Solanum lycopersicum: one gene and its partners. The protein of the gene in region 1 interacts with the protein of each later gene in a pairwise test. Links are inferred from orthologs where the notes say so. Each region holds a gene or a part of one and is shown in the gene's direction. Other genes may lie near its edges.

What was found.
Region 2: the proteins of PHYA (region 1) and protein SUPPRESSOR OF PHYA-105 1-like interact in a two-hybrid assay, tested with the Arabidopsis thaliana proteins (2 studies listed by BioGRID, with this or other methods). The link is inferred for Solanum lycopersicum from reciprocal best matches to the Arabidopsis thaliana genes PHYA and SPA1.
Region 3: the proteins of PHYA (region 1) and uncharacterized protein interact in a two-hybrid assay, tested with the Arabidopsis thaliana proteins (3 studies listed by BioGRID). The link is inferred for Solanum lycopersicum from reciprocal best matches to the Arabidopsis thaliana genes PHYA and AT2G37680.

Annotation. Positions count from the first base shown.
Region 1 is NC_090809.1:25,834,624-25,838,685, forward strand, and holds the start of PHYA (Phytochrome A), read left to right. Parts: upstream 1-1,253; 5' UTR 1,254-1,532; intron 1,533-1,699; 5' UTR 1,700-1,799; exon of another isoform or gene 1,800-2,034; intron 2,035-2,525; exon of another isoform or gene 2,526-2,547; 5' UTR 2,548-2,559; coding exon 2,560-4,062. UniProt on the Arabidopsis thaliana protein: Regulatory photoreceptor which exists in two forms that are reversibly interconvertible by light: the Pr form that absorbs maximally in the red region of the spectrum and the Pfr form that absorbs maximally in the far-red region.
Region 2 is NC_090809.1:4,267,047-4,271,105, forward strand, and holds the start of protein SUPPRESSOR OF PHYA-105 1-like, read left to right. Parts: upstream 1-1,243; 5' UTR 1,244-1,578; intron 1,579-2,809; 5' UTR 2,810-2,879; coding exon 2,880-4,059. UniProt on the Arabidopsis thaliana protein: Controls normal photoperiodic flowering and regulates circadian rhythms. Required for suppression of photomorphogenesis in dark-grown seedlings and for normal elongation growth of adult plants.
Region 3 is NC_090809.1:63,431,224-63,435,219, reverse strand, and holds the start of uncharacterized protein, read left to right. Parts: upstream 1-1,180; 5' UTR 1,181-1,300; coding exon 1,301-1,349; intron 1,350-2,556; coding exon 2,557-2,612; intron 2,613-3,290; coding exon 3,291-3,434; intron 3,435-3,996.

The DNA of each region.
Region 1 (4,062 bases):
AAAATTCCTTATTGGTAAACATTGTACGGTGAGATTCTTGATAATCATTAGACTTTTTGTGAGATTATTGATTACTTTGAGATTCTTGCAAGTGATTTTTGAAGATTAATCAAGCAAACTTTTGGATTTTACTCTTTCTCATTGAAGTAAGTATATGAATTCTTATCTACTAGATTTGAATATTGTGTTTATGGCTATGAGTAACTAAACTCCATAACTAGGGTTGTGGGAACCATAGGCAAATAATGAGATAAACCCTAACTAAAATAACAATTCTAGAATAGTGTCTTGCATGTATTAATAATTCTTTCTATTAGAAGTCCTTTTAACGAATGGCCAACGTTAGAACTCGCCTTAATGCTACTTGCCGGACAAAGGAGGTAGATAATAGGAAAAGAATTATTAACATAGATTTAGTGTATACAATCTAATAGGCTAGTATTGATTGGTACGAGGTAATAACTTAGTCAAATATCGAATACGATGCTTAATATGAGGTAAGGATAAGGGTTAGGATAGCAACACACGTAGCCGGACCAAGGTGCGGAGTGAGATTTTTTAGATGCCGGACCAAGGATTTAGAAATACATAACTTATTACTTTGCATGCAAGATACTAGAAAAGAATTGTTATAGTTAGAATTATCAAGTTATGAACTTGTGGGAACACGTAAATCCTAGTTACTTTGATTAATTGATTAAAATCCAACATTCAAAGTTGTTAAGTGTCTCTGTCAAGTTTGTTAATTAATTTTACTCATTTAGAAATAGAAACCCCCCTTTATTGTTTTTACTTTCCAAGGAAGTCATTGACCAAACAATAGTAATAACAGGTTGAAGTTAAGTCTAGACTATTTTCCTCGTGGGAACGATCCCAACCTCACTAGTTAGGTTATTTACTTGACACGACCGCTTTACTTCTTATTTGAGAAGTAAGTTTGAGCGTATCAATGGCGTAAAAATAAAAAAAAATGAAATATTTCTCATATACAACTTTTTGACGGCAAAGGTTTGGGGAGTGTGTAAAAAGTTCTTAAAAATTAAATTTAAAATATTTTTCAAAAGCAATTTCTTTTGATGCGGGTTAAGGGTTAGATAACGTAAAAATATCTTATATGATAAACTTTTATTTGAAAAGTACATTATTTTCTTTAAATTAAAAAAATAAATTAATTAAAAACATTTTTAAAAACATTTAAGCAACAAAAGACTTTCAAAGTGTAATTGTTGGGCAAGAAAAGGGGAAAAGAGTAGTCAAAGAAGGTTGTAGAACAAAGAAAAGATGAGTTCAATTTCGTTAGAATGTTTTGATGATTTTACATAGAGAAGTTTATTCAAAGTATGTTAGGTAAATGTTGGAGAGTGAAACACCAAAAACTGTTGTGATTATTATATGAATGAAAATGTAGATCCATATTTTGCAGTATCAGCTCTTAATTCTCTCATATTCTGACACCCTTTTCTCCCTTGAAAAGATAAGAGGATGATGTCTTCACGTGATGTCCATAACTTCCTGTTAACTTGTTATTCGAGGTATGGCCTCTCTCTTTAAAATCTTGTTAAACGATTGACATCACAGTCCTTCTACAACTATTATTATTATATTTATATTTACACCCACTCAAGAATTATTATATATTATCTCTACTTGGGGTTTGATTTTTTTTTTAATTCAAAAAATTTTATCTTTTTTTATACAGAGCTGCACGACAAATGAAGATTGAAGGTTATGCTAATTTTGGGATGACACCAAATAACTATGTTTGGAAAGGAAACAATGGAGCAACTCACTTGTTTCTAGTAAACTCTCTCTCACTCTCTATTTATTGAGATTTGTAAACATACTGTGTATATGAGCTTTGACCTGTGTGTTTTTAATGCTATCGATAAATCTTTAAGAGAAATCCAAGTTGTGGTCCATTTTTTGGGAATTTCAGACCTACCAGTTTATTATTTGCTTCAGATTCAGATCAACTATAACAACAATTCACCTGAAACCTATTATTTTGTTGTTGTCTCTCAAAGCTTGTGAAAGGTAATTTCTTTCACTGATTATTTTTCTTCTGCAAATTCAACTTTTAAGGATATACTATATAGGTTGTGATTAGGTTGTTAATCCAGCTAAAACAAACTACTAGCTTACTGTGTACTATGCATATGTGTCTGCATCATCTAGTTTCTTTTGTTATATAGTTAGTTATCTAGTGCTAATTTGTGGATCCGGAATTACCTGACTTACTCAGTTAAACTCTTTTTAGATTTTCTTTTAAACATATCATCCCTCCTGGTGAAGTGGGGTGAGATTGGGAGTGGATGGAAAATGTTAAGCTGCAAATAGTGATTTGATGTTTCATATTGATGAAAGGTAGAGGCTTTACGATAAATCATCCATGTGTTTGTTCTAGTTCAACTATTGTTGATATAAAAAAGTTAAAACTTCTGTTATTATGACTTTGAGAGTGGCGGATGTTTACAGTTCCTATTTCAACTTTGTAGCTTCAATGTATAATATTAATCCTGTAGTAGTTATTTTGTATGTTCTATTTAGATTTGAGTCGAGATGTCGTCTTCAAGACCTAGCCAATCTTCCACCACTTCATCAAGATCAAAGCACAGTGCTAGGATCGTTGCACAGACCTCTATAGATGCAAAGCTGCATGCAGACTTTGAGGAGTCAGGTGATTCCTTTGACTATTCAAGCTCAGTGAGGGTTACAAGTGTCGCTGGAGATGAGGAAAAACCAAAGTCAGACAAAGTTACCACCGCCTACCTTCATCAGATCCAAAAGGGCAAGTTTATCCAGCCATTTGGTTGTCTGTTAGCCCTGGATGAGAAAACATTAAAGGTCATAGCATTCAGTGAGAATGCCCCTGAAATGCTGACCATGGTTAGCCATGCTGTTCCAAGTGTTGGTGAGCATCCAGTTCTTGGCATCGGGACTGATATCAGAACGATCTTCACTGGTCCTAGTGGCGCAGCATTGCAGAAAGCCTTGGGGTTTGGGGAGGTTTCTCTGTTAAATCCTGTCCTTGTTCACTGTAAAAATTCTGGAAAGCCATTTTATGCAATTGTTCATAGGGTTACAGGTAGCTTAATCCTTGATTTTGAGCCTGTGAAGCCCTATGAAGTACCCATGACTGCTGCAGGGGCCCTGCAGTCATATAAACTAGCAGCCAAAGCCATTACTCGCTTGCAGTCCTTGCCCAGTGGCAGTATGGAAAGACTCTGTGACACAATGGTTCAGGAGGTTTTTGAACTCACAGGTTATGACAGGGTGATGGGATATAAGTTTCACGAGGATGATCATGGAGAGGTGGTGTCTGAGATCACAAAGCCTGGCCTCGAGCCTTACCTTGGTTTACATTATCCTGCTACAGATATTCCACAGGCTGCACGGTTTTTGTTTATGAAGAATAAGGTCCGAATGATTTGTGATTGCCGAGCAAAGCATGTGAAGGTAGTCCAAGATGAGAAGCTTCCATTTGATTTAACATTGTGCGGCTCTACTCTTAGGGCCCCTCACTACTGCCATTTACAGTATATGGAGAACATGAATTCAATTGCATCACTTGTAATGGCAGTTGTGGTCAATGACGGGGATGAAGAAGGAGAAAGCTCTGATTCTTCACAATCTCAAAAAAGAAAAAGGCTATGGGGCCTGGTTGTTTGCCACAACACGACCCCAAGGTTCGTTCCCTTTCCACTGAGGTATGCATGTGAGTTTCTTGCACAAGTCTTTGCCATACACGTCAACAAGGAACTGGAATTGGAAAATCAATTCCTTGAGAAAAATATTCTGCGTACTCAGACTCTCTTGTGTGATATGCTGATGCGAGATGCTCCCCTAGGTATCGTGTCACAGAGCCCCAACATTATGGATCTTGTCAAATGTGATGGTGCGGCTTTGCTCTATAAGAATAAGATACATCGATTAGGAATGAACCCAAGTGACTTTCAGCTGCAGGATATAGTATCATGGCTTTGTGAGTATCATACAGATTCCACAGGCTTGAGTACGGATAGCTTGTATGATGCTGGTTTTCCTGGGGCTCTTGCTCTTGGT
Region 2 (4,059 bases), about 22 Mb from region 1:
CAATTTTGGTATTTCGAAAATCTCAAATCATGATTTGAAATTTCAAAATCATGATTTTAAAGGCCCATTTGGTCATACCATATAAATTCATGATTTGAAATCATTATATGAAATTATGAGATGAAGTTGAAATTTTGTTAGGACATACAATTTTGACTTTTTATGTTTTATGTTTTCTCATAAATATAAAAACTCCGTAAATAGTAAAAGTATAAAAAATTATCCCCAATTATTTATATAATCTTACCAAATAAACAAAACTTATAAAATCGCGTAATACATTATTACAAAATTATTCTTAAAGAAGAACAATATTTATTTATTAAACCTTAATTCAACAAAAAATAAAATTGAACATAAATTATAGTGTTCAAATTGTTAGTAGCTAAGAAAATTTTTTTTACAATTAATCCCAGCATGGTTAGTCTTATCCACTCAATATAATGGTGATTATTTGTTATTATTAAACATTGATTTGAATGAAGTAGTAATAAATTTGATTAAAAAATAATGATTTGGGGAACATAAACGTTAAATTAAGAATTGTTTTGAAGAATAAATTTGTATTGACGAGAATAATTTGTATATGAGATATAAAAGGTTTAAAAAATAATGATATGAATTAGAAATTTTGTTTACAGATGAAACAAATGGGTATAAAATAAATGTGAGTTATTTTTACAAAATAAAAACTCGCGAATTAATATTTTTATTTAAAATTCCTAAAAATTATGACTTTTAAGAAATTAGAGATTTCATTTTACTAAATCATAAAATAAAATCAGCATAAAATTACGTGTCCGAAAACACTGCCATGTGATGAAAACACATGGCTAAAGCGCCCCAAACGCCTACCAAGTTTTGCGGGTAATTGTAATTTAAAACTATTTTTATGGATATATGGTAGTTTAGTTTGTGTTTGGGATTTTTTTTGGGTATCTATAATAAATTTATAAAATAATCGTGAAAAATAAAAAATAAGTTTAACTATCAGAATAATAAAATGCAAATTATTTTCTGAATATAAAAGTTTAAAAAAATACGAACTCGCAATCTTCGTATTGAAAGTGAGGATTACTTATCATCAGAACAACTCCATTTTGTCAACAAAAAAAAATACGTATTAAAAGTAAAATATACCACTAGATGAACAATTTTTTTTTAAAATAAAAAAATAACATATTTTTTTTTATTTCGTTAGAGGATAAAGGTATATAAGCACAGAGAAGTAAATGAATCACTTTCATAAGAGGTTTTGTTTTTTCTTTTTTTTCAAATTTTATAAATTAATGGCCAAACAGCCCTTTAACAAAGCACAATTCCGGCGAAAACAATATCTGAATTGCTCCACTTTTCACAGACATCATTTGGCGAAAACAATTTTTTTTTTCCAAGTGGGGTGACTGACTGATTCATAAATCATCATATCTATAGAGTAAATTAATGCACAAATAATTGCACAGTTGGGGTGTTGAACAAATGAAAAGTATTGTTTTTTTTTTCAGAATCTTGAATAGTGATGAGTGAGCTAGACAGATTCTTGGAGAGACTACCCTTTTTTCCCCATTTCAGTTTCAGGTTAGTCTTTTGATTTCTTTATGTGTCTGTGATTTAAGATTTGGTAAAAAAAATTGAACTTTTTTTAGTTTGTTTTTAAGTCTTGGATTTCTTTGTTTGGTTATAGTGTTTTCACCTTATTGAGTTTGTTTTTCCCAAACTGTGATTATATCATAATTGCGTTATTCTTGATTTTGGTTTCATGCTGAAATGAAAATCTATGATTACTTTTATCCCTTTTATCAATTATGTTTGTTAGGTTGTGGTTATGAAATAGCCTCCTAGGTAAGGGTAACTTGCCTACATCCTACGCGATCTCCAGACCCCACAAACTGTCACGATCCAATGTTCTCGGGTCATGATGGCACCTACTACACTGCACCAGTAAGTAAGCTTAACCCTTAGCCCGAAGCGATAAGCAATGGACTAGGCGACTAGCAAGTGGAAGCCAACAACAAGAAGTAAGAGCTTAGAACAAAGTAGAGAAAGGATAATCAACAAAAACAATACAGGAACCATCCCAAGTCCTGCCATCAGTTAGTTGAGCATCTAATCCAAAATAGGAGTACAAGGCTTTCACAAATACAAGACAAGTACAGACTAATCTCTGAATACAATATAAAGACTAAGCCTAGCAAAACATATGGAAACCGGTAGCTCTAGACGCCAGGAGCTCACCCTAATCTCTGAAACTCCGAGCTGCTCCGCACGACTCTAAATCAACGGCGATAACTCAACTGCAATCTATAGGGGGCAGAAGTGTAGTATGAGTACCCTGAATGTGTTGTGGATTTACTTTTAATACATGAGCATTCATAGAAAGTCTAAGTAATCGAAGCTAGGATAGTTCTTTATTATGAACATATGATATTTTTCTCTCTCTTCTTTGGTAGTGCTATTATTGATATGTTCAATACTGTATTTACTTTGCATATTTGTTATTTATATGCTTTACTTGAGCCGAAGGTCTATTAGAAACAATCTCCCTATCTTCAGAATATAGGAGTAAGGTTGTGTACACCCCACCCTCCGCTAGACACCACTTGTCGGATCACATTGAGTATTTTGTTGTAAATCTTAGTTCTGGAAGACGTGCTTCGACCAACTTGACTAGGTGAAGGAGGAAAGATTTTGAGAGATTTTTTTACTCCCTTCTTCCTTAGTACCTCGAAATTCCACATGCTTAGTATAAAAAAACGAAGTTAAAGACGTAGAAATCTGTCTAACTACAAAGTACTTTGTTTTATTTCAGCTAGTCCTTCAAGGGGTAAACATAGGTGAATGCAGCTGGTTATTTAATTGAAAGAGTCCTTTGGAATGATATGGACAAGTCAAAGGAGGAAGCAGATGCAAATGATGTAGGTGCGAATGTGCTATCTAGAACGAGGGAGTGTGATTCTGGTGAACCATCAATGGGGAAGTGTACATCTACCAGTCATGAGTTGCCAGAGGGATCAACTTCTGCCAGTTCAGGGATGTTGGAGAGTGATGGAATGAACAGAAATGTAACGTCCATGAAGGGGCCTCAGCTCCACGGTACAAGCTCTTACTCATTGAATAGTTCAAGGCTCACTCTTGAAAAGTTGTGTAGTTACAAAATTTCTGAGCCAGCTTCTCTTAGATGCTCCAATAGTCAAAAAACCATTCAGAAACCACAAATTCAGTGGCAACGTTTCTATCAATTGGGGTCTGGCTCTAGAAGTTTGAAGGGAGATGGAGATCCTTCATCCACGGACAAGGCTGTTCAGCAATTAAGTTCCAAGGAGTTGCCAAGAATAAATTTACTTGCGCTGAAAATGCTGAAGCAAGCATCCGACAAAGATATCAAAGGAGGCTCTAATGCAGAGTCTTCCCAATCAACAGAAGACCATAACCTAATTATTCCAAGAAATAGATTACTTCCGGGAAGTAGTCAATCAAAACTTTTATCCACTTCTAGCTTTTCTCATTTTTTTGCTAACCGATCTCTTAAAACCAAAGATGTTTTACCAAAAGGACCTGCACTTCATAAAGAAGTTCATATTGCCTCTACTCTGCAGAATAAGAATGACTTCGAGCAAGCCTCCACAGGAATGGTATCATCTGATGTTTTTTTAAAGCAAGGTGCTAATTCTAATCAAGCATCTTTCAGTCGTAGCGATCACCAAAGACCCACTTCAACTTACAATGGATTTACCTTGAGAGAGTGGTTAAACTCGACGGGATCACAGATAAACAAAGCTGAGAGGATTCACATATTCCGGCAGATTGTGAAGTTAATTGATATTGCTCACTCTGAAGGAAATGCATTCCAGGATATACGGCCTTCCTGTTTCATTTTACTGTCACCTAATGGTGTTAAATATATTGGTTCATCTGTCCAGATAGACTCCATGTATGCTGTGAGCCGGAATACTAATGGGAAAAGGCCATCCGACATGGAAATGCATGCTAATAGTAACTTGGGTATAAAGCTACAGAAGGTCAATGTGGACGTGGGCTTGATTAGACAGCAGCCTGAAA
Region 3 (3,996 bases), about 38 Mb from region 1:
ATTATATGTTAAATTATCATAAAATGATTGATAAATAAAAGTACTTAATAAATCAAATTGGACTTTAAAGTAAATTTTGAAATATAAATGTTTTTTTTTTCATTTTAATCAATTTGGTATGACTAATCAATAATCAACTTCTTTTTAGTGTAATGTAATGTAACCATCAATAAGCAAATCTATTATCATTTCTTCAATTCATTTATCTTGACTTTAAATTAAGAGCCTGTTTAGCTCAGCTTAAAAACTGGTCAAACTGATTTAAAAGTTGGTTTTTGACTTATTTAGCTGTTTGGCAATACTCAAAACAACTTATTTTAAGTTAAAAAAAACTTATTTTAAGCCAAAAGTTAAAAGCTGGGGTAGGGATGTTTTTTTTTCCTAGCTTATAAGCTGTTTTAAGTTGACCACATTTTTACTTTTTTGCCCTTAATATTTTTATACAATCTCCAAATTACCTACATAACCCTAACATCTCTTTCTTCTATTTTTCCCTTTTCACGTGTGAATGATAGACAATTACTATTACTAATGAATGAAAATAAAATAAATCTTAAATCTTTCAAGTGATCTATTCAAATTATATATTATTAAAATGTAAAATAAGTTGCACATATAACTTAAATAAAAATTTATATTCCTCTTATAAATAATTTGTGATAATAAAGAAATATGTGAATGATAAACAATTATTATTACCTATGGATGAAACTAAAATAAAATTGTAAATCGTTCTTTAATCTATTCAAATTATATATCTTTAAAATCTATAATAAGTTTATATTCCTCTTATAAATAATTTGTGATGAGAAAGAAATATGTGAATGATAGCAAAATATAATTATTTATGGCTATAAAATATAAATTAATTAATTTTTATTATGTTAACAGCTTTTAAGGATATTTCAGACATTTTGATTTAAAAAGCTGTTTATCAACATTTATTTGCCAAACACATCAACAACTTTTTTTTTTTAACTTCAGCACTTTTATCCAAACGCATAACTGCTTATTTTAAAAATAAATTTTAGCACTTTCAAAAGTAGTTTTTTAAAGCTGCTTTTATTAAGCTCATCCAAACGGGCCCTAAATATATGCAACCTAAAAAAGTTGAATAAAAAATTAAAATTATAAAAAAAATATTCTTTTTTAAAAGGAATTAAAAAAGGACAAACAAAATATATTGCCAAAAAATCAAATAAAATCAACAACAGTTTTTTTTATATAGTTATTTTCTGAAAAAATAAATTTCTATGAAAAATAGACCCAGTTCTCAATTCTCAGTAGAGGCGAAAGCAAAATGCCTGTGAGAGTTGTGGAGACTTCTTCTGCACTTTCGCAGCCTTCAGGTAATGAATTTGCTATTAATTTATCATTTTTTGATTGAAATTATCTTTATTTTTAATCGAAGTTGCAATTTTGATTATGGATGTAGAAACTGGGTTTAGTTTTATCAGTGCAATGCGGGTTTATTTGTTTCTTGTTTTTACATTGAGAATCAGATAAAGTTAGCATTTTTCTCTATTTGAAGTTTCATTTGAAAAGATCTGGGCTGGTCACTTTGCTCAATTTGGTGGTTTAAGTGAAATTTGAATTGGGTTTCTTCAATTTATGATTATAGTATGTTTAATTATCATTGTGTTTGTATGTAGTTTTCTTGAGCTGAATGTCTATCAGAAATAAAGGTCTGGTACAGACTACTCTCCTCACACTCACTCGTGGGATTACAGTGGATATGATGTTGTTGTTTGTGGTGGTGGTGGTGTTAGTATGTAGTTTTTATGAGATGAGTGTCTATTGGAAATAAAGGTATGGGAGACACTATCCTCCCCAGACTCACTCGTGGGAGTGTAAAATAAAGGGCTGGTACATGCTACCCTACCCAAACCCACTTGTGGGATTACACTGGGTATGTTGTTTTTGTTTTTGTTGGTGTTAGTATGTAGTTTTCTTGAGCTGAACGTCTATCGAAAATAAAGTTCTGGTACACACTATGCTCCCTAGACCCACTCGTGGGATCACACTGAGTATGTTGTTATTGGTGGTGGAGGTGGTGGTGGTGTTAGTATGTAGTGTTGCTAAAGTTTTGTACTTTTTGGTGTCAAATTATGTGATTTGTGTCTGCTGAGTAGTAAGTAGCTGTTGCAAGACTGAAATGCTTGTTTTCTTTCAACTGCAAAAGTGGAACTTCAGGAAATTACAGTGGGCATGTTGCTTATTGTTGTTGTTATTATTGTGGTGTTAGTATGTAGTGTTGCTAAATTTTTGTAATTTTTGGTGTCAAATTATCTGTGAATTGTATTTCTGAGCAGTAAGTAGTTGTTGCACGACCGAAATGCTCGTTTTTGCACGACTGAAATGCTCGTTTTCTTTCAACTGCAAATGTTGAACTTCTGGAAATTACATTGGGTATGTTGTTGTAATTAATATTAGTGGTGTTTGTAAGTTGTGTTGCTAAAGTTTTGTACTTTTTGGTGTCAAATTATGTGATTTGTATTTCCGAGTAGTAAGTAGTTGTTGAACGACTGAAATGCTTGTTTTCTTCCAACTGCAAAGGTGGAACTTCAGGAAATACTTTGCCTTCAGTCTGTACACTTCTAAGTGTTGGACAGGTGAGCTTCTGCTTTTTTAATTTTTTCCGACTGCTCCTGTTGTTTCTATCTTTTTTTTTTTCGTCCTTCAACAATGGAATTATGATTCTTTCTATATTCTTGCGAATTTAATACCAGAGAAGAATCTGAGCTCCCCTATACCTGATTTTGAAAATTTTGTTCTTTTGCTGCTTGTATCATATCCAAATTGTATAAGATGAGAATGATCAGAATGTTGCTGCCTAACCTCTTGGTAGACTGAGAGTAGTCGTGTTTGCTTTGATTGAAATCTAACTTCAGTAAGCATCAAGGAGCTTCAACTTCCCTTTTTTTTTAAGCTTGTTTGAGACCCTAGAAAAGTAATTTAGTAGCCTACACACCTTGTTCTTTCCCTAGCTGCAAAAACCCTGAGGTGAGGCCATGTATGCTATTTTAAAAGTCACCTTCCACCAAAGCTTTATGGCCTATGGGCGTCCATCTGATAGGTTCATTGATCAGCCGCTGCAAGGGGGCATTCTTCTCACTCTAACGTTTTGGCAAATTGTGGAAAGGGCATTATGGTGGTTCAATCCTTCCTTTTGATTGTACCTTTTGGCTATTAATTTAGCCGTGAAGCATTACAACTTACAGTTTATGGTTGTTCAGCTTGTCACACAAGTGTGAAGTTTCATCTTTTCTCACTGCATTGCTTTGTTCCAGGCATTTTCTGGAACTCAGAACGTTTCGAGTCAGCAAAAAGATGAAGCTTGGAGAGTAAATGTGCGTATTCAGGGTTGTGACCTTGATCATGGATATCTATGTGGTACAATGGAAGCTCTTAATGTCCCTATGGCAGATACACCAGTAAGAAGCCTTTATTTTTACTTAAAGAGCATTATATCTCTTTTCCATTTTCTTCCTCATTAAATTTCTCTGTTACATAAATACGTAGCTTCAATATAGAATAAAGAATAGGCATCTCTTGAAGGCTTAACCTTTTGGCTTTGCTTGTATGAAGCTACACCGGTGGTAACATGTTGCTTGAAATGTCATTGATGAACAAAGAGGGTCTTAATCTAACTGGTCTAATTTTTCTTCTATGATTCCAAGTGGTGTTGAGGTAACATGTTTTATTCGACAGTTCCTATACTTTTTGCTGCTTCATCCAGGACAATTCAAAAATCATTACCCATGCTTTATGCCAACAATCTAAATAATATATCTGAGAGTTTCTAGTTGAAGCAAACGTCCTATATATTGTTATCTGCTGTAGATGCTCTAGCAGAAAAAATATCTGTTGCTCGGGCTTCCAAAAATATGCCATAACCGCGTCGGATTCTCGAAAAATGCACTACTTTTGGAATATCTTACACGCACCCGACATTTTTGAAGAGTTTGAACAACATAGGAAAATAAGGAGTAATAA